4 linked regions of the Drosophila melanogaster genome follow. The protein of the gene in region 1 interacts with the protein of each later gene in a pairwise test. Each region holds a gene or a part of one and is shown in the gene's direction. Other genes may lie near its edges.

Region 1 (4,850 bases):
ACTTTGGGGGGGAATTTGGGTATTTAGCCGCTCCGCTGGTTCCGCACTTGTTCACCGCTGACATTCGAATCTACAAATGAGCTGGCTGCGCTTTAACCAAGTCTCAATGAGCTCCGAATCTCGAGACCCTCCAATAAAAAGTTTGGGGGGGAACTCCAACAACGTTAACAAAAATCCGGCTATGTGTGAAAATGTGCAGTGGCAGCAAGTTTTTTGTCTTTCTGACTGGCCCATTGCCGAGATTTATGTTTATGTAACTACCAAAAGACACAATAGCGAAAACAAGATCGCCGGACAAAAGTTAAAAATGTCGGTGAAGAAAATTTAAACAAACTGCTTGTTAATTGTCTATTAAAATGTGTTATCCAAACACTAGCACTGCTGCTTACTAAATCTCCGCCATCCCCCCCAAAACCCACTGCCGATCCGGTTCCATATCATCACATCATCAGCAATTAACCGTCCCAAGTCGAGCCCATTTGGCAAAATACTTCATGTGTCTAACCATTAACGGCTCCATTAGACAGACGTCTGCGACAAAAGCGTTGGAAAATTTGAAAGTCAAAGTCGATTTGGTAACCGCGGAAGTGAAGCTCCGCCTGGGATGCCATAGATTGGGATCGCGTTGGATTGAGTGCATCGGTTTCATCAGCCATTTCCATTTCCATTTCCATTCACGATCAGTTTCAGTTTCAGGGTCACGCTGCATTTTTATGCTCTTACCCTATATTTTTTTATAATCGGTACTAGTTGGGTTCAAGGGTATGCCGTGTTTTCGTGTTGTTCCGCACGCGTAACGAAAGCCCAATAAGAAAATGCTGAATGTTTAATAAAGGAAATATGTAATATAGTTTATACAGTTTATAGTTTAGCTTCTGTGTAATAGTATCCAATATATATTACAGGCAAGCTGTAAATGATGATGATACAAAAGTCTTAGTATAAGTATGAAGTAATACATTTTACAGCATAAGATGGAATCATGTTTTTTTCTAATATTTATACGTACTTTGTATCTGGCATTTTATGCAGACTTTCTCAGACCGGGCATACTTTTCGAGCGACCCACGCACTCCAGCTGTTCGCGTTCCTTGCTCCGCCGCAGCGCGGAACCCAACCCACAAACGACCTTCCCTGCTAGTGTCCACTTCGGTGGGTGGGCGGAGGTCATCCGTTGGGAGCGGGGGCGTGGGGTTCTCGAGCATGGCGTTGGGGTTCAAAGTGTTTGGCAAAGTATTTGGCGCGCTCTAAGCGGCTCATAAATAAATGCGAAAACAAAATCGTTTTTGCAGACGCAACGCATTTAAGGGGTTTTCGGGACGGGTGGCAAGTATCCACTATAGATATAGGGGTTCCGAAACTACACAGACAGCGAGAATCCTATGCAGATACAGCGAACTCATGGGCAACGGGTGACTCGGGCATGGAGTAGCAACTTCCCCCCTCTCCCATCACCCTGCCAGCTTTGGGTTTTCGAGTGCGCCGGCGCTGGAACGACATCGAACTCTAGGAATAGAAGCGTATGGCCACCCCAGCCCCATTTTAATGGCGACGCTGGGGCGATAAGATAATGGCCACTGCCTGCGCATGCCTGGAAGTTCTTGTTGCTTTTGGACTCTATCGTCGGCCGATTTCCAGCGATTTTCAATATAAAGGGGCGGTGCCTGTTTTCCAGTGGAGACCCCGCATTTTTGGTGACCGCGCGCCGCGTATTGACTTGGACCTTTGAGTTAAGTTTCTCATATTTGTTTCGCCTCAGTCGACGTCGCTGCTGACTTTTAAGTGCTGTTTACTGTTGTTTTGGGGCCAACGAAGGTGTCGCGCTCGACGTTGGTTGGCTTTTTGTTCTACCCACTGTGCTGTTTTCCTTTTTTCATTTTTTTTTTGCCCCTGCACTTTTGCAGCTCAAGCTTCTTGAGGCAGAGGGAAACAAAAAAAAGTTTCCACACCTTCTTTTTTCGACGAGGCTAAAGTTTTTGCGTTTTACAAATATTGTAATGCTCTTGGAATTTGGACTTTTCGGGCAAATGGGCATCGCCAGAGAGCGACACACACATGCGCACGGCCTCCAAAAAGAAGCACAAAAATGTTGTCGCTGCTGGCGTTGTCGCCTCGCCGCCTTGTTGCCATTGTTGTCCTGCCATTCAGGGCTGGCTGTATGCATTTTACCATATCATTTGTGTCACATTAGGATCAATTGGTAAACACACGCCCGCACACCCGCACACACCCACAGATAGTACGTATACGCACGGCGTACCCATGTGGGCGGCCAAAAGGCAAACGGCAAACGGCACACGAATACAAGACGAAAGGCAAAAAACAAAAAAAAAAAAAAAAAAAAACAACAGCGTTAAAAGCTCGCACAGTCGAGAAAAAGCGTGAAAAAGTGCGCAAAGTAAAAAGGAGAGACGACAGTTTGGACGGCCAAGAAAATAAATAAAGATGCAGCGCGGCAAATAGAGGGGATTCCCACCAGCAACAATACCAGCCGCCTGCCAGTGTTGCCGCGTCCAGGGTTGCCGCCGTACCGTTACCGACACCGTTACCGTTTCCAGACCGTTACCTTACCGTTGGGCAAACACCGTTAGCCATGCCGCCGCCATTTTGTCGCACTGGCTTCGCATTTGCCGTCGTCGTTTTCGCTGCCGAATCCGTTACCGTTACCGTTAAAGTTGCCGATGCCGTCGCCAAAATGGCGTTCGCATAAAATCGCGTTCAAGTGCCGCAGAAAATTCAAACGAAATAATACGAAATGTTGAAATAAGAAAATTAAAAACCAGCCAATAATTAACAAAGTTAACAAATACTAGAGTTGAGTGTTAAAGTGACGCAAAAAATTTTAATAGGGTAAATGCAAATCATTTCCACTGGTTTTACGATTCCGTCGCATAACGAAAGGCTCAATAAAAAGGCTAAAATTCTGAGGAACTATTGAAAAGAAAGCCAGCTTGATTAAAAAATGGAATGTTACATTTTAACAGTAGATCCTTAAAACAAAAAAGTCTATTGAGCAAATTGTGTTGAGAAGAGTTACAAAACCAAGATACGTTTAGGATTTTAAAATGTTTAGTATATGAATTTTAATACTAACACGATTGGATTTTGTTTGTTTTAAGATTTAAGGCAATCAAAATAAGATTAATGTGCGATTTCCAACTCCCGATGTTAGCCATTTTAATTTCAATTTAATCTTAGGAGCTTTGCTCCTAAAATTAAATTTCTATAAAATAAATTTCATAGTATTTTGTTTCATTTATATATGATCTTCAATCTTAACTAGTTTCCAAATACTGAAGAACTATTAAATGGAAATTTCCGATTAATTATTCTACGTTTTAATATTTCACAAAAAATAAATTGTTTACCTATTTTGTTTGTTTGAATTTCTATAAAATAAATTATCTTCAATCTTAACTAGTTTTCAAATACTGATAAACTATTAAATGGATATTTGCTATCAAATATTCTACGTTATAATATTTCACAAAAATTTTTTTTAACTATTTTGTTTGATTTGGGAACCATTAGCAGTTCGTTTTTGATAAAAAAACCTTGGACATTGACCGTTTTTTGATAGATAGTATAGTGCACATCCGATTTGTTGTCTTCGCACGAGAATTCTCCTCGTGATAGACGATGAATAGATATGCGCCAAACGGTCTTTTGAATATCTACCGATCAGTTTGGCCCTATCCTCGGCTTACATAAAGTTTACCCGCCTTGCACTTGGTCGAAAGCACCCGAACAATAGATGGTCTAGTGTGCCCCGGTATCGCAAACAAATTCAAATTGTTCAAGTCCCTGGCTACTTCAACTGATAGAGCAGCCGAGCACTGAGCACGAGCCCAACCGAGTGGCAAGACTGGAATCTAGATTCTACCGTAGAAACCGAAACCCAAAGAGACCGCCGCGATAAGGGAAAAACAGTCAACCGGGCCACTGTTGGGCACAAACCAATGCCAGTTATCGAGCAGACAGCGATCCCGCCTAGCGGAGTCTCGTTTAGACGCTAAACGGGAAACGAGTGCGGTAAACTAACACAAAGATTGCTTTTTAAACACCAAACAGGGCTAAAGATACAAACGTGTGCCAATTGGAATAAGCTAACTGAAATATACATATAACTCATACGACGCGTGTTCAAATCGCCGGCCCCTCAGCAATGATGCAAACCCTGAAACCACCGCCACCGCTACATCATCACCACCAGCATCAGCACCAGCTCCAGCATCCGCCTCAGCAGCAGCCACATCCGCATCAGCAGCTGCAACATCCGTTGCAGCAGCAACAGCACCTGTCAGCCATGGATAATCACCAGCAACATCAGCCGCATATCCATCAGCAGCAGCAGCAGCAGCAACAATTGCCACCCACGCCGCAGGCATCTCACCTGGTCGGTGGGCAGCAACAGCAGCAGCAACATCCGCACCACAATCACCTGGCTGTCGACCAGGATGACCCAAATCCCGAACTGGTGCTCGCCTTAATTTCCAGGAACCGGGCGCTCGAGGGTAAGTGGCCAAGTCATGCCATCTTTGATTCAGTCCTGTCCATCTGAAGGCTGCCTAGGAGATTTTCCTGCACAGTGAACAAAAATGTTTGCCAAGAATAGTATATTATTAAAATGTTTGGTTTTCAAACTTAGATTACATTTTTGAATTTTATTTATCAATTTATCAATTTTTGAAATGAAAGAGAGAATAGTCGTATTTACATTAAAAAATATCGTGGTTTCTTAATTTTGCTTTAGTAAATATTGAGAATACAGTTTTCATGTTAAAACCGTATATTTCACTTCTGCTGTAAGTTAACCCTTTGAATACACTTTGCCCATGTGTTGGCCGCGC
Region 2 (7,477 bases), 8.8 Mb from region 1:
GGAGTAAATGGATTGACGGCGGCGCTGGGAGCGGGTAACCTGTTCCTCTACACCACGATATACACACCGATGAAGCGTATCAGCATAGTCAATACCTGGGTGGGATCGATAGTGGGCGCCATTCCTCCGCTGATGGGATGGGCTGGTTGTGCAGCCACCCTGGACGCCGGCGCCATGATCCTAGCCGGAGTGCTGTACGCGTGGCAGTTCCCGCACTTCAACGCTCTGTCGTGGAACCTCCGGCCGGATTATTCACGTGCCGGCTACCGAATGATGGCCGTTACCAATCCGGGTCTTTGTCGCCGCACTGCGCTGCGATATTCGGTGGCTATTGTCGGACTTTCAGCCATGGCACCCGTACTGGACGTCACGAACTACTGGTTTGCCTTGGAAACACTACCTCTGAACGCGTACTTCGCCTACCTTGGTAAATATACTCATTAACCATGGAATCCTATATGTTATGTCTAATACGTTCTGTTTGCTTGCAGCGTACAAGTTTCATGAAAAGTCAGATAGTGGGAGCTCGCGGAAGCTGTTCCGATTTTCACTGATACACCTGCCCGCCCTGATGCTGCTATTTCTGACCAATAAGAAGGAATGGTATTTCAGCAAACCCGCCGGTGAGGAGAACAAAAAGGAGTCCACGTACAGTGCGATAAAGCATTCTGCTAGCAGTCTTGGTAATGTCCTGCCCGTCGCCGTAGCCGAAGGACCCAGATAGAAATATTAACATTAATTTGATAAAATGTTAAGTATCGTGTGAAATTTAAATATACTTAGTGTTCTGCAACTTGTAAAAACAGTCATTTAATATTAAGGAAACACGTACCCCTGTGCGGCAAATATATGTTGCGCCTAATAAATGACACGACATCCTTGAAAAATATGCGGTGTAACCAATCCGGCGCTGAATACAAATAAATTTAAAATATACAATTTGGCATGGAATCTTAAGCCGTACAGTAATTTAAATTGCAAGATTCTAAGTATGACCTTATTATATTGTTCTTTGAGCACTTGTTTCAAAAAAAGCACGGAAACGGTAAAAATTGTTAGTGGAAGTAATCCCGTTTCCCGTTGTTTCATCGGTTGTTGAAAATAAGGAATTTAAATCTATTTTATTTTGATAAATTGTAGCAATCGAATCGAACGTATTATTTAAGGCATTGTAAGGCATCTCTTCTTCAGATTCCAGAGTTTATTCCTTTGGAGGGTTTTTTTTCCAAGATTAAAAAACGACATGCGCATTTCCTAGGGATAAGTATTCTAGCTATTTTAGGAACTATATTCCGCAATTGAAATAATTTTAATAATAATAGTAAAATCCGTCAGATAAATAGTCAAAAATTTCTAGCTAAAAATGAGTATAGCTGTACGTTATCGATAACAGAAATACCAAAAAGTTGCCCCTATTTCAGTATATTTCACTGGTTCCTCTGCTGTATGCGTTGGTCTTACAAATGAAAAGAACAATATTTTGTATTGTGTTGCAATAGCCTTGATGTTTTATCACAGAAGCACATTAGCATAATCACTGATTTATCGCGATGCCGAGATGAATCATGCAGCTAACGCGACTATCGCTGGAGCCCTCGTTTGGTAATTTGAACGGGAAACTAGATCAAATGAGCGAAAAATCTGTGGCGAACCACTGGAGTGAATTATTTTTAGTGAGCTGAACGTGGATTGTGACAATGAAAAATTGAGGAATAGTGTTTACATTCATTTTATAATTTATTTTACCAGTTATCTTTTTTATCGCGATAAAGGAGAGGCGTATGAAAGTTTCTTTACACAGTGCAAAACGAATATAAATTTCTAATTATGAATAATGTACCACATAAGTTTCGTCAAGTTTGTCGATTGTGCCTCACATTGGTTAACGAGTGCGATGTTGCAGTACTACAGATTTACGATAATTCGTCGCATAATAATAGTGCCCCAGACAGAATATCGGCCGATTTTCGTGGCGTCGCGAATCGTGCCAACTGCTTTTGCAGCGCTTTAAGCCCCAATCCGTGCAGTTGCATCGTTGATAACCCGCTATCAGCCAACAAAAATGAACGGCGCAACCAGGGAACACCCGTACCCGTGCCCATACCCATACCCGTTTCCGTGCCTGTGCCCGTTCCAAGCCAGCAGATCCAATCGCAAACCCTTCACCATCACCAAAACCAAACTAAAATCCATTACACGCCAAGTGTGCCTTCTGCTGCGGACGCAAAGTCGAGTGAGCGCGAACGCCAATGCCAATTGGAGTCGGACATCGCCGAGAGATCAACAGTATTCAAAAGTCAGTCATCGTCGGATCACGAACATATAGAATATAGCGGGGAGACGCCATCCCCCTCCGCATCGCTATCCCAATCCCAAACAAAATCGGAGCCAATGCGCGAGGAGGAGGAACATCAGCATAATCATAATCAGCAGAGCGGACGCGAAGAGACAAGTGTGAATACAACAAATATAAGCGGAACCGATAACTACGGCAAAGAGCACGGTCGGGATGATTCATCATCACCACATCTTACATTTCAGATATTCAACTGTCTCTCTATTAAGGTAAGCAGATTTCCATCCAACACATTTGCAAAGAAACGAATTTACATTAATTACGCACATACACAAGCATGCTCTTACCTGTGTGTGAGTTGGATATATCGCGTATATGTACACGATAATGCCCGCACACACGCGCACTTTTGCGAGTGCTTGCCGTGCGCTGGTGTGTGTTATCTATGTGATTACGACACCACACGTCAAAATAATAGGAAATGATTGGGCCGCTTTTATCCCATGGCCTATTAACAATCGGTATCAATTGTTTGGTATTTTTTCGATGAACCATTGCAAGGCATTGGCCCAGGCCCACGCACACCACGCCACACTCGTACATCAGTGTCCAGCGCACGAATGTAAATATTGCTATGTACATACGTGTGTGTATATGCACGCATGGATGTATGTTAGAGACCTACATACATTAATCCACCAAAGAGATAACATTCGTTTCGATTGTTTAAGTGCGGATATACCGACGTACATACACCTTATATGGCCCCAATGTGTTTTTTTTACATACTTCGAGTACTTTCATTTGTTATTATGTATTTATTTATTTATTGATTTGATAATTTGTGCTCTTAATGCATTTCATGAGCTTTAGTGTTTATTTCCGTAGATGAACATATGTTATTTTTTTTTTTTTTTATCATTTTATAGGGTTGTTTTTAATTTTTTTCAATTAAAATAATTTGTTTCATGAGATTTACAGAGATATAAATTGTATACTAAAGTTTTAATACATGTATAATGATAAAATTGATTAAAATACAAATAGTTTTAGCTTGATTTATACAATATCAAAGCATCCAATGTTCTTCTTTTAGTTCCAAGTATAACCAGTCATCAATCCCATCGATCGATTTTGTTACCGCCTTGCTCCTTAGTCATTGCATCATTCTCATTGCTAGCCAACTGAATATTAAAAGTGGATACTGCAGTATAAGATACATTCATATTTCTTTCAGGCACTGCCCAACGATGGATTACCCAACGTGGTTTGTGGCGACTGCAGACAAAAATTGGATTCCTTCGAAAAATTTCGAACCATGGCGCACAATTCACAAATAGCTTTGAAAGAATTTTTAAATATATCCAAAAATCTGAGACCAGTAAGTATAAGTATTGATTGGAAGGAACTTAGTTAGTCATACGCCATTAAATTAAATGACCATTTGAATTACTACTCACGAACTATGTTTTTTGCAGGACCCAAATGATTTGGAAACCAAGCTCGATGCAATTTTAAAGGCTTCATCGGAGGCTATAGCGGCAAAGGCTCTGACGGAGTTAAGCACGTTCTCTAAAGTTAAGTACGACCACAGTAAATTGGATTCCAGCATCCAACCCGGCTTGGATCGGAAAATCGAGATTAGCAATCAAGAAATGCCAGCACATAGCTTATATCCAAGTTTATTCAAATCAATTACTATGAAAAGCGATCAAAAGAGCAAAGCAATGTCTGGATCCTCACACAGCCAGTTTGATTCAAAACTGCAAAAGGACTCGGATATCGAGAAATATGAAAATCTGCAGCAGCAGCTTGAAACGGCTGCCGTTTTAATGGATATAAGCAAAAAAATAGTAATTTCCCCTCCATGTTCGAATCCGCAATCTCCGTGTTTTTCTGCAGCTGTAGATACAAGTATTAAAAGTTCTGTGATAAAATCAAAACGTCCATCAAACCAAAATGAAATTCAGGACGGTGTTGAAATTGACCTATCCGTCAAAAAACAAAAGAACGATTACTCTAATCAACGGAACGCGGCCCCAATACACCATTTTTGCCAAACTCCAATGCTTGATATTCAGTCACACTTAAGAAGTGAAGAGGATTTTCAAAACTACAGTATTACCATTAACCAAGTTGGTGGGTCCGACTTCAAATCAAAAGCACCCAAGGCGAGTACCGGCTCCTTGCTAGACTCTGGCGATAGTTCCGACTCTCACAAACTAGAGATGGACATCACGTCCTCCATAAATGATAGAAAGACTCCGGATAGCTTAAGCTCGGATCACGCCACAGATGCGGCAACTACTCAACTCTGGCAGGCACTGGCCAGATCAGCCGGTACGTATTATTATCCGACCACTGACCGCATATTATTATGAAAAACATTTCAATTTGATAGCTAAAAGCAAGGAGGACAATCCGGCATCACAAATATTTCGAAATATGATGAGCCAGCCTTTCGCGTTTCCGGTTCCGTCGACAGTATCATTTACAAAAGTACCTGAAGAACCCATAGCACTATTAAAGGTAAACTATTTCTTCTATTTCAAGTAGCAAGTAGCTATAGGAAAGTCTAATACTCTTTGTGTTCTTAGGATCTATCAGAGGCTCAATCCAGCAAATCAAAACCATGTAGAAGAAAACAAAGTTTTCCTACCAAAACTGATTGCATCGATGTAGTTAATGAGAATGTGACTGATACTTATACCACTTCAGAAGCAACTCCGGATGATAAGAAAGATAAAAGGGTACGTTATCACAGTCATCCTCATTGAATCACATACTAATTATATTATTTCTTGGTTCAATTCCGATTTCGTAGAACATAAACCTTTTTAATGCCATACCTGGTGCTCAAAAAGATATGTCATGTTCGAATTGTGGCACCCTCACCACAACAATTTGGCGGCGAAGTGTTCGAGGAGAGATGGTGTGCAACGCCTGCGGATTGTACTTCAAGCTGCATGGGGTCAACAGGCCGCATTCAATGAGACGCGATACCATACACACCAGACGCAGGCGTCCTAAAGAATTGGAGCGATCTAAAAAGAGTGAGTGAGAGTTCGAAATTTATCTACATTTTTCGATTCGAAAGCTAGCCCTCTGTGACCCATAGATTTATTTATTTTTTGAGTATCTAACAATGAAAACAATTTGTTTACTTAATGTTTTTTTTTTATGTTCCCTGACCATTTTATTGTTGGTAATTAAATGTAACTTGCCAAAACAATTTATTTTTCTGTTAATATGTTCATTAAGCTATTGATTTAGCAATCGGAATATTAACCGCGTACCCACCCAAAATATTTTCTTGCTTGTCCAATCATATTTTATGATGTCATTGTTGTAGATGGCATTGGACGTGCCTGTTAAGTCGTTAAACTGCTCAAGTTTGAATAAATATCTACGAGCCTTTCATTATTAATTGTATGATTTATTTGCGAAAATTATAAATATACACTTTCTTTTGCAGAACACAAACAAATGTCATCATGTTCTTCAATAGAAACAACGAAGCAAGATTTCTTGACGGCTAGGGAATCTCTAGCCATTTCGGGCCTTGTTTTAAATGTATGTATCTGCACTATTACTTTAAAGTCTTGATAAGTAGATTGATCAACTAGATCTATTTGCATAAGATTTAAATACACTTAAACTTCAATTTTCTAATATGTTTTTATTTTAGAAATTCAAAAAGGAAATTGATGATACCGAGACCCCAGCCGCAGCAGCACTTAAAGATATTTTATCAAGGCGTAAGAAGTCAAATTCTTTGCCGGCGTTTAATGATACCTGTGAAAGTGCGGATCTATCCGCACCGCTTAACCTTGTTTCCAGTGAAAATAATGCAAAGTTAACATAAAACGCCAAATATATTCCCCCTACTCACTTTTCGAAAAAAAAAGAAGAACCTTTAACCCACATTTTGTTTATTTATGAGGTCGCGTAAGAGAGAAAAACAAATGGTATAGGATTAAAAATACGTATAGATTATTAATAAAATTTTCATTCTTTAAAACTAAATTTTATTCATTTGTATCTTTAAAAACTAATACCAAAATACTTATTAGTGTAAAAGAGGTATGAAAATTGAACCAGTATGTCAAAACTTTTAAATAATATCACACTAAATATAGACCTTAAGAGAGGACATCAATACTTAATGCAATTAAATTAAAAATAAAATTTATTATATTTATATTTATTAAAACCATTTTACAGTATTTTTAATTTTTTAATAACACAAATCGCTTCTATTAAAATGAAAAGTTCAGTTTTAACAATGATTTTTCAGCTGTCTTTGCAATTGAACAACTTCTAAAGCTAAAAAATAATAATGTTTTAAATCTCTTGCCTATACGAAAATCATGTGATAATATAATAATCTCCACAAAACATTTTAATAGTAAAACTATGCAAAAAGCAATAATCACGCAATGCAAACTTTTCAAGGAAATATTTAAATTATATACAATTATAAGAAACTAAAAAACTTAATGCTGTTTTCGAATCTACATAAATTGTCTAAATAAAATAAGGACTTCATAATAGGCTAAGATACAAAAAATATTACTCATTTATTTTTTCAAATAAAATACTCTATACAATTTTTAACAATCACAATAAAACTGGTTAATGTAAAATGAAAATCCAAATTCTACTGTTTTTTTTTAACTATTTGCCTGGGGTATGGGATAAGCAACCGAAAAATCTGTTAAACTAATGATGAGAATTTGAAAAAATATATATTAAAGATATTTAAGTATCTTAATTCGAATAGAAAGGGACTTACATTTTTACCGCCGACTGTTCAATGAGAAATGCTGTAAGTGGAAACATGCTGTTAGACTCCCGAATTATCGATGTAGTACAACAAGCACTCGCATCGATAGTCCCATCGTTTACTTTACATCACCAGGCGTTGTTTTGGTATCAGATCAGATCCATTTGTTATTGCCAGCCAGCAGCATGTTGGAGAACGGTTCGCACTTCTTCGAGGGCGTTGAGAAACTCCTTGAGATTTGGTTTGAGGAGAGCTCCAACGGTGACGATGATCTGCGTAACATCAGCAGGTGAGTCCCTCAACAAGTGCGGAACCCAAACAGCCGACATGTCCTTTGTGCACAAGTGCATGCACAGTTGCGGGCAAAAGTATACGTACATATGCGCCGTTCATTT
Region 3 (4,973 bases), on another chromosome or scaffold:
AATGAAAGATTTGTGGGATATTTCCGACTTTAGATTTAGGTTGTTGAACTAATGGTGCATAACCAAAATTTCTGAACTTTTCAGTTTACACAAAACTTGAACCAATTCAAGCATTTTCTCGCCTAACTTTACAGCTGCTGGAAAACTTTTATTTTGCGGCCATTTCGGTTTTCCAAAACCGAAAGTGCCGCCCAAAACGACCCACTCACAATGTAAAACACCACATTCAAAAGGGCAAATTCCAAAAGCACTAGAGAGATTAACGGCCCACGGAAAACTTGGCACTTCGGACTTGGCCAGATGTCCAATGGGCCGATACTGGGCGACGTGGGTGTGCGGATTGGAAAGGGCTTTGGTCTGTGGCCCAGAGATTTAAATCGGATATCCATCCATAGGCATACAATGTCTCAATCGCCACGCACATTGACACATTTTTCAATGGCACTAAAACTGTATAATGGGGCCGTACAACGCATTTAATGTCGGCCCACACACACAGGCCAATTCCGATCGGTTTGAGCCAAGTGCACACAAATTTGGTGGGACTTGTGGCCGGACTGTGAAACTTGGCCAGGTGAGGTCCGGTGGTGGGAGTCTGCTTTCCAATGGAACGACCAATCCGATGTCCATCCACAACTTTGGCCACAACTTTAAACTTTCACGTCTCATTTTGGTGTATGCTGGTTTCAAAAATCGGATCTTGCCCCATGCCTGCCGTTGGCTAGATGTGCCGCCCCAGAAATTTTGGGTTCCGATGGGGAAGACTGTTGCAATGAAGTGATCCTCATACATATATGTATATCAAAATATTGTTGAAGACACAGGCAACACACAATAAGTTCACCGATCCACTGGCATTAAGTGTTGTAATAGTGGAAGGACCTAAATGTGAACAGAACACGAGTAAAATTTTAGAATAAAAGTAGCTTTGTAGACTTAAAAGATTGTTTTATTTTGATACACTTTATCGATAATTAATTATTTTTAGTACGCAATATCTTAATACTGCGTTGAATTTTTGTGAAATTCGCCAACCACACGGAAGCCAGCGAAAAATGTCTTTCGCGATGGAAAGTAAAAGTTGTCGCCGGCCTAGGGTCGCTTATATGGTGCGTCCATCGAAACGCTCGCGAATGCCAATTTTCCCACATACATTTCGCGTTTTGCAGCAGAGTTAACCAAGTTAACACCAACATTTGGCCAGTACGAGTTCGGGGGCTCATTTGCATGGTGTTTTGGACTTGGGGCCCAGATGCCAGCCCCCGCATATGTCCGGCGAAACAAAATGCCGCTTGGTTCTAATCTGCCAGCAATTTCCGTGCGCAATTAATGCCTCCACAGCGCAGTGTCTTAATTAATTCAAAATCAACGCCAACGCGCCAAATTGTGGCCCACCCAGCTACCAGGTGGCAACGCTGAATGTTGTTAGTCAATTAATGCATTAACTAGCCTCCATTTGGAAGAATATTAATGGCCCACCTTTGTATTTAGTTGCTATTAACTTATTTGGCCATTTATTAACTTTTATACTCGCACTTTTGGCTAAAATATGTGTAATATGTTAACCAGCTGCGCAACTCTGTTTGTGCGGAGTGGCAACGCTGATGGGTGATCTCGCATGCTGGCAGTAGGGTGCGAGAGAGCCAAGTCAGAGAGAAACTGACGTCACAAGATGGGTATTGGCGTATTTTTTATGGAAATGGTTATGCAAATATTGACTAAACGTCACCGAGTAGTTAAAAGCACTGATATATTAGAAATTAGTTAATTTAGATCAAAAATACCCCCAAATATATAACCAAATATTGGCTTTTAAATATTTATTAAAAGCAATCGCACTTTGTGACGTCACTGGGCGAGAGAGCAGAGAAACGAGAGCACATTGAAACCACCACCCCACGATCGAACTGGCATGATCTCACACTTACAACGTTTTGTGCTCTTCGCTTCGCATTCAGTTTCTTTTTCTCTTTCTTTGCGCACGGTTCAGTGGTAGGAAAATTAGGAGGAATCGTTCAGTAAAGTCCCGAGATCCGTTCGCTATTCCCCGACTCGAATAAAATCCATATACACATATATCAAATAAACAAAGGATAGGAGTCCTCAGAGAAGAAAAGTGTGTTTAAAAAAAATACTTTCCAAACAAAACGAAATGAATAAAATCCAAAGCCATCCAGTAGCAACAACAAATACATAATCAGCAACTGTGCATATTTCTGCGAGTTTTCTTGCATTTTTAAATCGGTTAAGTGGCCTTGTGCACTCGGTACATCTCCAGGCAAAGGAATTTATACCTTTGTATCTTCAAAACGTAGAAATTTGAATATAAAATTTATTTAAATACTTTTTTGTTGTACTTGCTGTTGCAGCAGCCAAATGAGCGAGGGTGAGAGAGAGAGGCAGCTATTTTGACATTCTGCTTTCATTCATCTCCGTCGCATATACAGTTTTACTGTTTATTGTCCGTGTGTGAGTGAGCGATCGCCGAGGAATTTTCTGCCTTCGCTTTCGACTTGCTGCGCTCTCTCGCTCTCTCAGTATCTCTCGCCCTGCATTGTTGTTGCTGCCGATCGGAAAAAATACTTTTGGGCGGAGTTGTTTTCATTTCGTTTTCCGTTTTTAATATCGCTCGCGTACGAAACTTAATGAATTTCCCAACTCCCACAGTAACGTGTTAAAAGTAGCAAAAACAAATAAAAAAGAAGTGTGCACCAAGTAAAGAAAGCAGAGACCCAAGGAAAGTTGAAAGTTGAAAACCAGAATCTCGTCGAGAACAAAACAAAAAGTTCCCAAAAACCCACACATCACACACGCACGCAACAAAATGAGTGTCTGTGAGAGCAAAGCCGTTGTGCAACAGCAACTGCAGCAGCACTTGCAGCAACAGGCAGCCGCAGCAGTTGTTGCGGTCGCGCAACAGCAGCAGGCTCAAGCCCAAGCCCAGGCTCAGGCTCAGGCACAGCAGCAGCAACAGGCGCCGCAGGTGGTGGTCCCCATGACCCCGCAGCACTTGACCCCACAGCAGCAGCAGCAGAGCACACAGAGCATCGCCGACTATCTGGCCCAGTTGCTCAAGGACCGCAAGCAACTGGCCGCCTTCCCCAACGTCTTCACCCACGTCGAACGCCTGCTGGACGAAGGTAAGTCGCTAAAACTCAAACCGAGTGAGATCCCTCCAAGTCACAGCATCATCCTAATCCCGGATCCAAGACTCAGCGGAAGGATAACGATCACTAGCTAGCCTTTTCTGAATCAAACGATAAACCCAGTTACTGTTTGTTATTGTGATAATATCCTTTTATTCATCAAACACTTTACAGTACCATTAGGAAATTGTTATATATAATAAATGTGATGAAATGTGGTGAAAGAAGAAATTTGGATATTCTTGTTATAATGTTCAGATATTTAACTCTAGAATGTATTAGAACTTTGTGTTTGTATTCCAAAAATTCATGAAAAGAACATTAAACTATTGTAGTATACAAATCGATGCCATTACAGTTTGGTTTATATCTTTTTTAATTGTTCAAAAAATATTTGCAAAGCACTTTAATTCCGAGAATCTGGCGGGATTTATTGTAAACATGTATTACAGAGACTGTAGGTATTTAGAACACATTTGGGTAAATGGGAGAGTTTAAATGAGTATATATGTTATTTTAAAGTGGTGACTTCATTTTCAATCGTGTGTGCCAGGCGTGTTAATGATTAGGGTGCCTCTAACCAAGTGATCACTGTAGTTCAATCAGTTTTGGGGCATGGATCTCTGGGTGTCTGGTTTGTCTCCTCGGCGTCTCCTTTTCGGCATCTTCTCCATCGCGGGTTCTGAGTTCATTCCACCTTACAAACCGAAACGAGATGTTTGTTATTTTTAGTTACTTCCTTTTTGTGCGCCTCTTCGCGGAGCGCACACTACTTACACCTCTCTCCGGGCTCTCTCCTTTTGTATTCTTGGCTCCACACTTGACTGCCAGTGCAGCCTTTGTTGTTCTCATTATGAATTCTTTGTTGACTCGGCCATTCGTAAACCAAAAAGGAGGGAGGCTTGGATTTTGAGAGACGCAGAAGGAGATGCGAAACCCCAGGGGGGGAACCCCCAACAAAGATAGAAACATTAATGTGGTGTGGTATTATGTGATAAGAGATCATTTTATTCACAAGCATGTATGAATTTATACATATGCTAAAAGTTTTAAAATTTTCGAATCTGGAATATTATTGGATCCATTTAATGATCTGCTTTGCTCTGTGCACTGAACGTGTAGCAAACTTATCTGAAAGAGGAAAAATGTACCTCAACTGCCCACGCTTTGCCTCGAAAACCAAAAAAATCAAAAAAAAAGAAAATATGAATAAATATACGGCAACGAAGCAAAAACTCTTAAAGGCAAGCCAACAAAAGTCAACTTTCGGGGCGGGATAGGGGCGGTATAGGGGCAGGGGCGTGGCACTACCTGGTCGCATCTTGTATCTTGTATCTGGCATATCGGAGCTCTCGTTTCTGTATTTGCCCAACATCTGTTGCCCATATGCAGGCCGGCCAAGAGGGTGTGTGTCGCCTCGTAATGACAAAATTATGTTGCACAGATACACAGATTCAGATACTGGTGCGGTATTTGCGGATTGCAAGGTACCGCTAGATGGCCAGAGTACACTTATTATGTACAGCGTATGTTTGGATTACTTTAATATACGTTTTTTTTTACCATATTGCTTAATCAATTTGTTTATAATTGCTACTACAATTTAAATTACATTTAATTATTGCAATTAAACTTGAAATGTGATAGCAAATGGTCTGTATAATAAGATGCAAGATCTTGATTTCTCTCTTCATTTGGAAAATATCCAAGAAGTCGGTGGTCTTATCTAGACCAATCAGATTATTGATTACCAGGTACCAGGAGGTATCGCACTGTCGGAAAACTCGCCCAAAAGCTTATATTCTTGTTTTGGTTTCGTCTCGGCAT
Region 4 (4,741 bases), 5.9 Mb from region 1:
TCTTAAGAAAATAAAGAAAAGAAGCAAAAGCCCCTTAAACGCCATGCCCAAGTTCCACTCATCATTCCCAAGAACTCAGTGATCAGCACCTATGCCGTCGGTCGCCTCTGTTCGGAACCTGCTTTGGTCAGGATTGAGGTTAAAGATCTGATTGGAAGTGGATCCTTTGGCCGGGTTTACCAGGCTCATGTGAATGAGTCCGAGGAAATAGTGGCCGTTAAGCAAACCCTTTACAATCCGAAGTTGAGCCAGGGCGAAGCAGAAATTATGGGTCAGCTAAAGGACCACAACAACATTGTCCGGCTCATCATGCACTCGTCCGTGAGTTTGGGCTTTCCGTCAGTGGACTACGTTTTGCTGGTTATGGAGTACATGCCTATGACTTTGCTGGACTATATCAACTATCACCTAACGGTGCTACAGCCCGCAGAGCGCCTAATCAATGTCCGCATACTCTCGTATCAGATGTTCAGAGGATTGGGATATCTTCATCTATTGGGCATTTCCCACCGGGACGTCAAGCCCGAGAATCTGCTGATAGACAACCAGAAGATGGTGCTTAAGCTAAGTGATTTTGGAAGCGCCAAACTCCTGGTGCCCCAGGAGCCCAGTATAAGCTACATTTGCTCCAGGCTTTATCGTGCTCCGGAGCTTTTTGCCGGGTACGAACTTTATTCGTGTGCCGTGGACATCTGGAGTGCTGGTTGCGTCCTGGCGGAGCTGCTCAAGGGATATCCGCTCTTCTCCAGCCACAAACATGACCGAAAGCAGCTGCGACTCATCGTTAATATGCTGGGCACCGATGGCTTGGAACGAGCTCCTGAAATACTCTCAAAGTGTGGAAATTCACTTCACCCACGGACCACTCGTCCCAGTTGGAATTATCTCCTGAATACGGCTGTTCCGCAGGATCTGTGCGGTCTGTTGAACTCGTGTTTCATCTATGAAGCCGCCGCTAGAATCTCACCTATGATGGCATGTAGTCATGGTTCCTATGATGAATTGCGCATCATGGACGCCATGGCGTTGCCCATGCCCAATGGCAATCCGCTCCCCCCTCTGTTCGACTTCAACAGCCTGGAGATGGGTACAGATCCAAAACTTTGGGTCAACCTATTACCGATCCATTTGTCTTCAATGGAGGACAAGTATTCGGTCGTAGAAGCCTTTGAAGCAGTCTAGAAGATTTTCAAAATAAACTAACTATGGCAGGGATTTTTCAGGTTGTTCAAATATCTAATTGTCCTCTTGTTACTGATGTTAAGTGTCCTGCCCTGGAAAGGAAAAAAAATAAATAATAAAAATGTATTACAAAATAATATTAAATAACATTTCAGCGATAACATGAAATTATCATTTGGATGGAAATAAAACCTGTTAAAAAACTTTTCTTAAGATGCAAAATAGATACACTAAGAAATGTTTAATATTTTATTACAATAATTCTTATTTATTAAAATCTAAAATTAAATAGGCTTATGTTAACATTAACATTGGAACCACATAAACACTTGGAACCGAATCTTGAACCGGAACCATGCGTTTTTTATTGACACCCAAGAAGCAAGTTTTATAAATTGTGGTTATGTGAAAGAAAGAATGACATTGCTATTTTTATAAAATATAAAATAAAACCTAAACCTTAATTCGGTGAGAACTACGAATTTTTTATTTGGCATTTGAACATCTCACGTCCCTGAGAACTCGTTTTCTGTCATATCGAAGTAGCCCTTGGAAAAGCCAAAAGAAGTTTAGCAGGACCATCGGAAAAGTGAATCAGTCTTACAGGAGAACTCGCACCGGACGGTTGAAAAGTGTTCTGTGAAAAAATCCAAGGAAAATTTTGCTTGTTTCAGATTTTGTCAAGTCATGGAGCTGCCTTCAATGGTGGAGCGTTCGGGTGATCGCTTGGTGGTGCGCAGCTTGGTTAGTGGTGCTCCACTTTATCAGTCATCTATTGAGGGCGGAGCAGGTGCTGTGCTTCCTATGTCCCAAAGCGTGCAGCCGCTAATAGGTCAGGACTTTTTGGAGCAACAACTGGAGCAGTATAAGGCGAATAACTTTATGTTTCCACTATCGATGGCCGGGTTTGTTTCCGCAGACTCTGCACCACCGGGGGACTTGGCCAAGGAAAATATGGAGAACTCACTGCCAGATGGTAATCCGTGCAACAACAACAACGACGATGAGCTGCCGCAGTGCAAGATACGGCGTAACTACAGCTGCAACCAGTGCGCATTCTTCACGCAAAATCCGCGCAGTCATCTCTCGCATCTGCGGGACGTACATGGCGAGCGGATTGTGATCAACGAGTGCAAGTTGTGCCTCTATGCCTCACGCCACTTCCAGAAGCTGGTGCGGCACATGAAAATGGTGCACGGCTGTTCCGATGATGGCGGCGCAGTGCAGGGATCAGGTGCTCAGCCGCGTGGTAAGCGAAATCTCTCCAGGGAGGTGCGCAAGCGTCGTCTGGAGGAGAGCATTGAAGGCCAGGGTGCGACTGGGCAATGCCTAGACCTCAGCGTGCTGCGCATGATCCAAAATGGACCGCCACTGGAGCAGCTGAAAGTAGAACTGCAGCAGCAAGAGATGCAGCTACTGGCCAGTGTCCAGGCGTACAATCGACAGCAGGAGATGCTGCAGCTGCAGCAGATCGTCGAGAGCCACGACAACATATTCTCCATGGCCTACGAGTTCCAGACCAAGTTAATGCCGCCTAAGCAAGCAGAGTCCCTGAAATTGGAACAGCAAAACAGCAGCTCCGATTCCGAGGAGACTGCGAAGAGTCCTTCGCCGGATACCCGTGAATTGGTGTCGGGTAAGGAGCAGTTTCAATGCCAGAAGTGTTCATATAGCACGCCCATTCGAGCCAGATTCAAAAAGCATGTGAAGTACCATTCCATGCCACTGATCAAGTGCAGCTCATGTGATTTTCACACACCCTACAAGTGGAATCTAGACCGGCACACCAAGAACCATGGTGCCAATGGCCATTTCAAGTGCTCGTGCTGTGACTTTAGCACGGATATCAAACAATCGCTGACCATACACGAATCAAACCATCATGTGCCCATGCCGGTTCACCAAATGGGCAACCGAAGCCGAGATGAGGCTGAGGATCTGGTGGATCAGCAGTCAAGTGGTTCCAGGAAACCAGAAACGTTTAAAAATGGTGGTGCTACCGTTGCATCGACAGAATCTCTGCTTCCCCGGACTTCGGGGATCGTTTGTTCACACTGCCAGAAGCGGGTGGGCAATGCCATGCAGTTGATCAACCATCTACAAGTGTGCACTTTGGCCTTGCACAACACCACCCAACTGCAGGCTTCTATCAACGCGGAGGTGGATCTTCACGATGAGGACTTCCCCAATGCTCCCACTGATCTCAGTTATTGCGGCGTAGAAACAGCTCCTGGCTATGGGGAGGTAAAGTCCATATATATATAAGTACATGGTGTTGCAAACTTATCCCTTTAATTTCAGGTCACAGAAGTTTTGCCAGAGGAACCCGAAGATTTGGCGCCATTGAAGAAGGTTTTTAAGTGTCCTCATTGCAGTTTTTGGGCAGCCACTGCATCTCGCTTCCATGTCCACATCGTTGGTCATCTAAATAGGAAGCCCTTTGAATGCTCTCTGTGCGCCTATCGCTCCAACTGGCGCTGGGACATCACCAAGCACATCCGTTTGAAGGCCCTCCGCGATAGATCCCATAACCAGGCCCAGGTGCTGATGAACGATGAGACCGGTAGGCGCAACTACGCCAAGTACAATCAGTATCTGACTATGATGAAGGTAAGCGCCGAACAATTGGCCGATTCGAAGGGAATGCGCACGGGTGAAATGATTGTGATGCCGCCGGAGAAGCTAGACGACCATCATCCCATGGAAACGGAGGAGATCATCGAGATGGTGGATAGTGCTCATTCGACCTCGGCACTGGATTTACGAAAGCCCAGGGATGACCAGACGGAGGACTTGGCAGGCAACAGCGATGAGCTGCCGCAAGAGGGAGCCAAGACGGAGCCAAATTTAGAACCCTTGTCATTTAAATCATTGAATTCATCACAAGTCATGCCAAAGCCCAAAGGGTCGCCTATGAATTTGACCAAGACAGATGGTGGTCAATCAGACGAAACGACATCCGCTGATGAATCCAATGAAAGCGATTAAAACGGATCTTTCGAATCTTTGAATACTCAATTCTCAGCAACAATATTAAAAATTAAATAAAAATACGTAAATCGATTTAAATTTATCCGGTTTTTAAGATTTCTATGAGAGAACTATTATTGTGTATTCGTTTATAGTTTTGTAGGGATAATTGGGGCAAGTTCAGCCCAAAAAATAGGTACCAATAAATAAGTAGTTAATAGTTAATTTAGCGTGGCTAATGTATTAGTGACAGATCAGCTAAGCTTTAGTCTCGAATAATAACACTACGAATTTAGATCACGCGCTTTTCACAGCAAACATTCCTGTATGAAAAATAATACTATGCATATCAGGACGAACAGCGGCACCAGGAAGCAGACTTCATCTACGCTGAAAGTGCCCAGGATGAGCCACAAATCGAGGCAGAGATACCGCGCCTGCAGGAGCCACAACCACATGCACTAAGCCGTCTGGCACTGTACGCCCTCAAAGTGAGACGACTGTCCGTCCTCGTCTTCCTGCTGTCGTGGCTGCGGCTTATAGTCCGTCATTTGCACTTCCTCGGCGTTCTTTGGGATCACTATCGGCT

The links.
Region 2: the proteins of Lim3 (region 1) and GATAd interact in a two-hybrid assay, tested with the Drosophila melanogaster proteins (one large-scale study listed by BioGRID).
Region 3: the proteins of Lim3 (region 1) and how interact in a two-hybrid assay, tested with the Drosophila melanogaster proteins (one large-scale study listed by BioGRID).
Region 4: the proteins of Lim3 (region 1) and kmg interact in a two-hybrid assay, tested with the Drosophila melanogaster proteins (one large-scale study listed by BioGRID).

Annotation. Positions count from the first base shown.
Region 1 is NT_033779.5:19,105,387-19,110,236, reverse strand, and holds the start of Lim3 (Lim3), read left to right. Parts: upstream 1-1,809; 5' UTR 1,810-2,850; intron 2,851-3,961; exon of another isoform or gene 3,962-4,071; 5' UTR 4,072-4,165; coding exon 4,166-4,514; intron 4,515-4,850.
Region 2 is NT_033779.5:10,332,248-10,339,724, forward strand, and holds GATAd (GATAd), read left to right. Parts: upstream 1-1,666; 5' UTR 1,667-1,827; coding exon 1,828-2,565; intron 2,566-3,533; coding exon 3,534-3,677; intron 3,678-3,774; coding exon 3,775-4,636; intron 4,637-4,697; coding exon 4,698-4,825; intron 4,826-4,893; coding exon 4,894-5,046; intron 5,047-5,120; coding exon 5,121-5,349; intron 5,350-5,771; coding exon 5,772-5,869; intron 5,870-5,984; coding exon 5,985-6,161; 3' UTR 6,162-6,938; downstream 6,939-7,477. Other genes in the region: Cox10 (cytochrome c oxidase assembly factor 10), read left to right, coding at 1-427, 492-724; SamDC (S-adenosylmethionine decarboxylase), read left to right, coding at 7,268-7,371.
Region 3 is NT_033777.3:22,040,240-22,045,212, forward strand, and holds the start of how (held out wings), read left to right. Parts: upstream 1-1,951; 5' UTR 1,952-2,116; intron 2,117-2,667; 5' UTR 2,668-2,824; coding exon 2,825-3,140; intron 3,141-4,973. UniProt on the Drosophila melanogaster protein: RNA-binding protein involved in muscle development and dosage compensation. Vital role in steroid regulation of muscle development and to control heart rate.
Region 4 is NT_033779.5:13,158,937-13,163,677, forward strand, and holds kmg (kumgang), read left to right. Parts: upstream 1-1,590; 5' UTR 1,591-1,650; intron 1,651-1,856; 5' UTR 1,857-1,869; coding exon 1,870-3,426; intron 3,427-3,483; coding exon 3,484-4,170; 3' UTR 4,171-4,217; downstream 4,218-4,741. Other genes in the region: Pk34A (protein kinase at 34A), read left to right, coding at 8-1,182; DnaJ-H (DnaJ homolog), read right to left, coding at 4,614-4,741.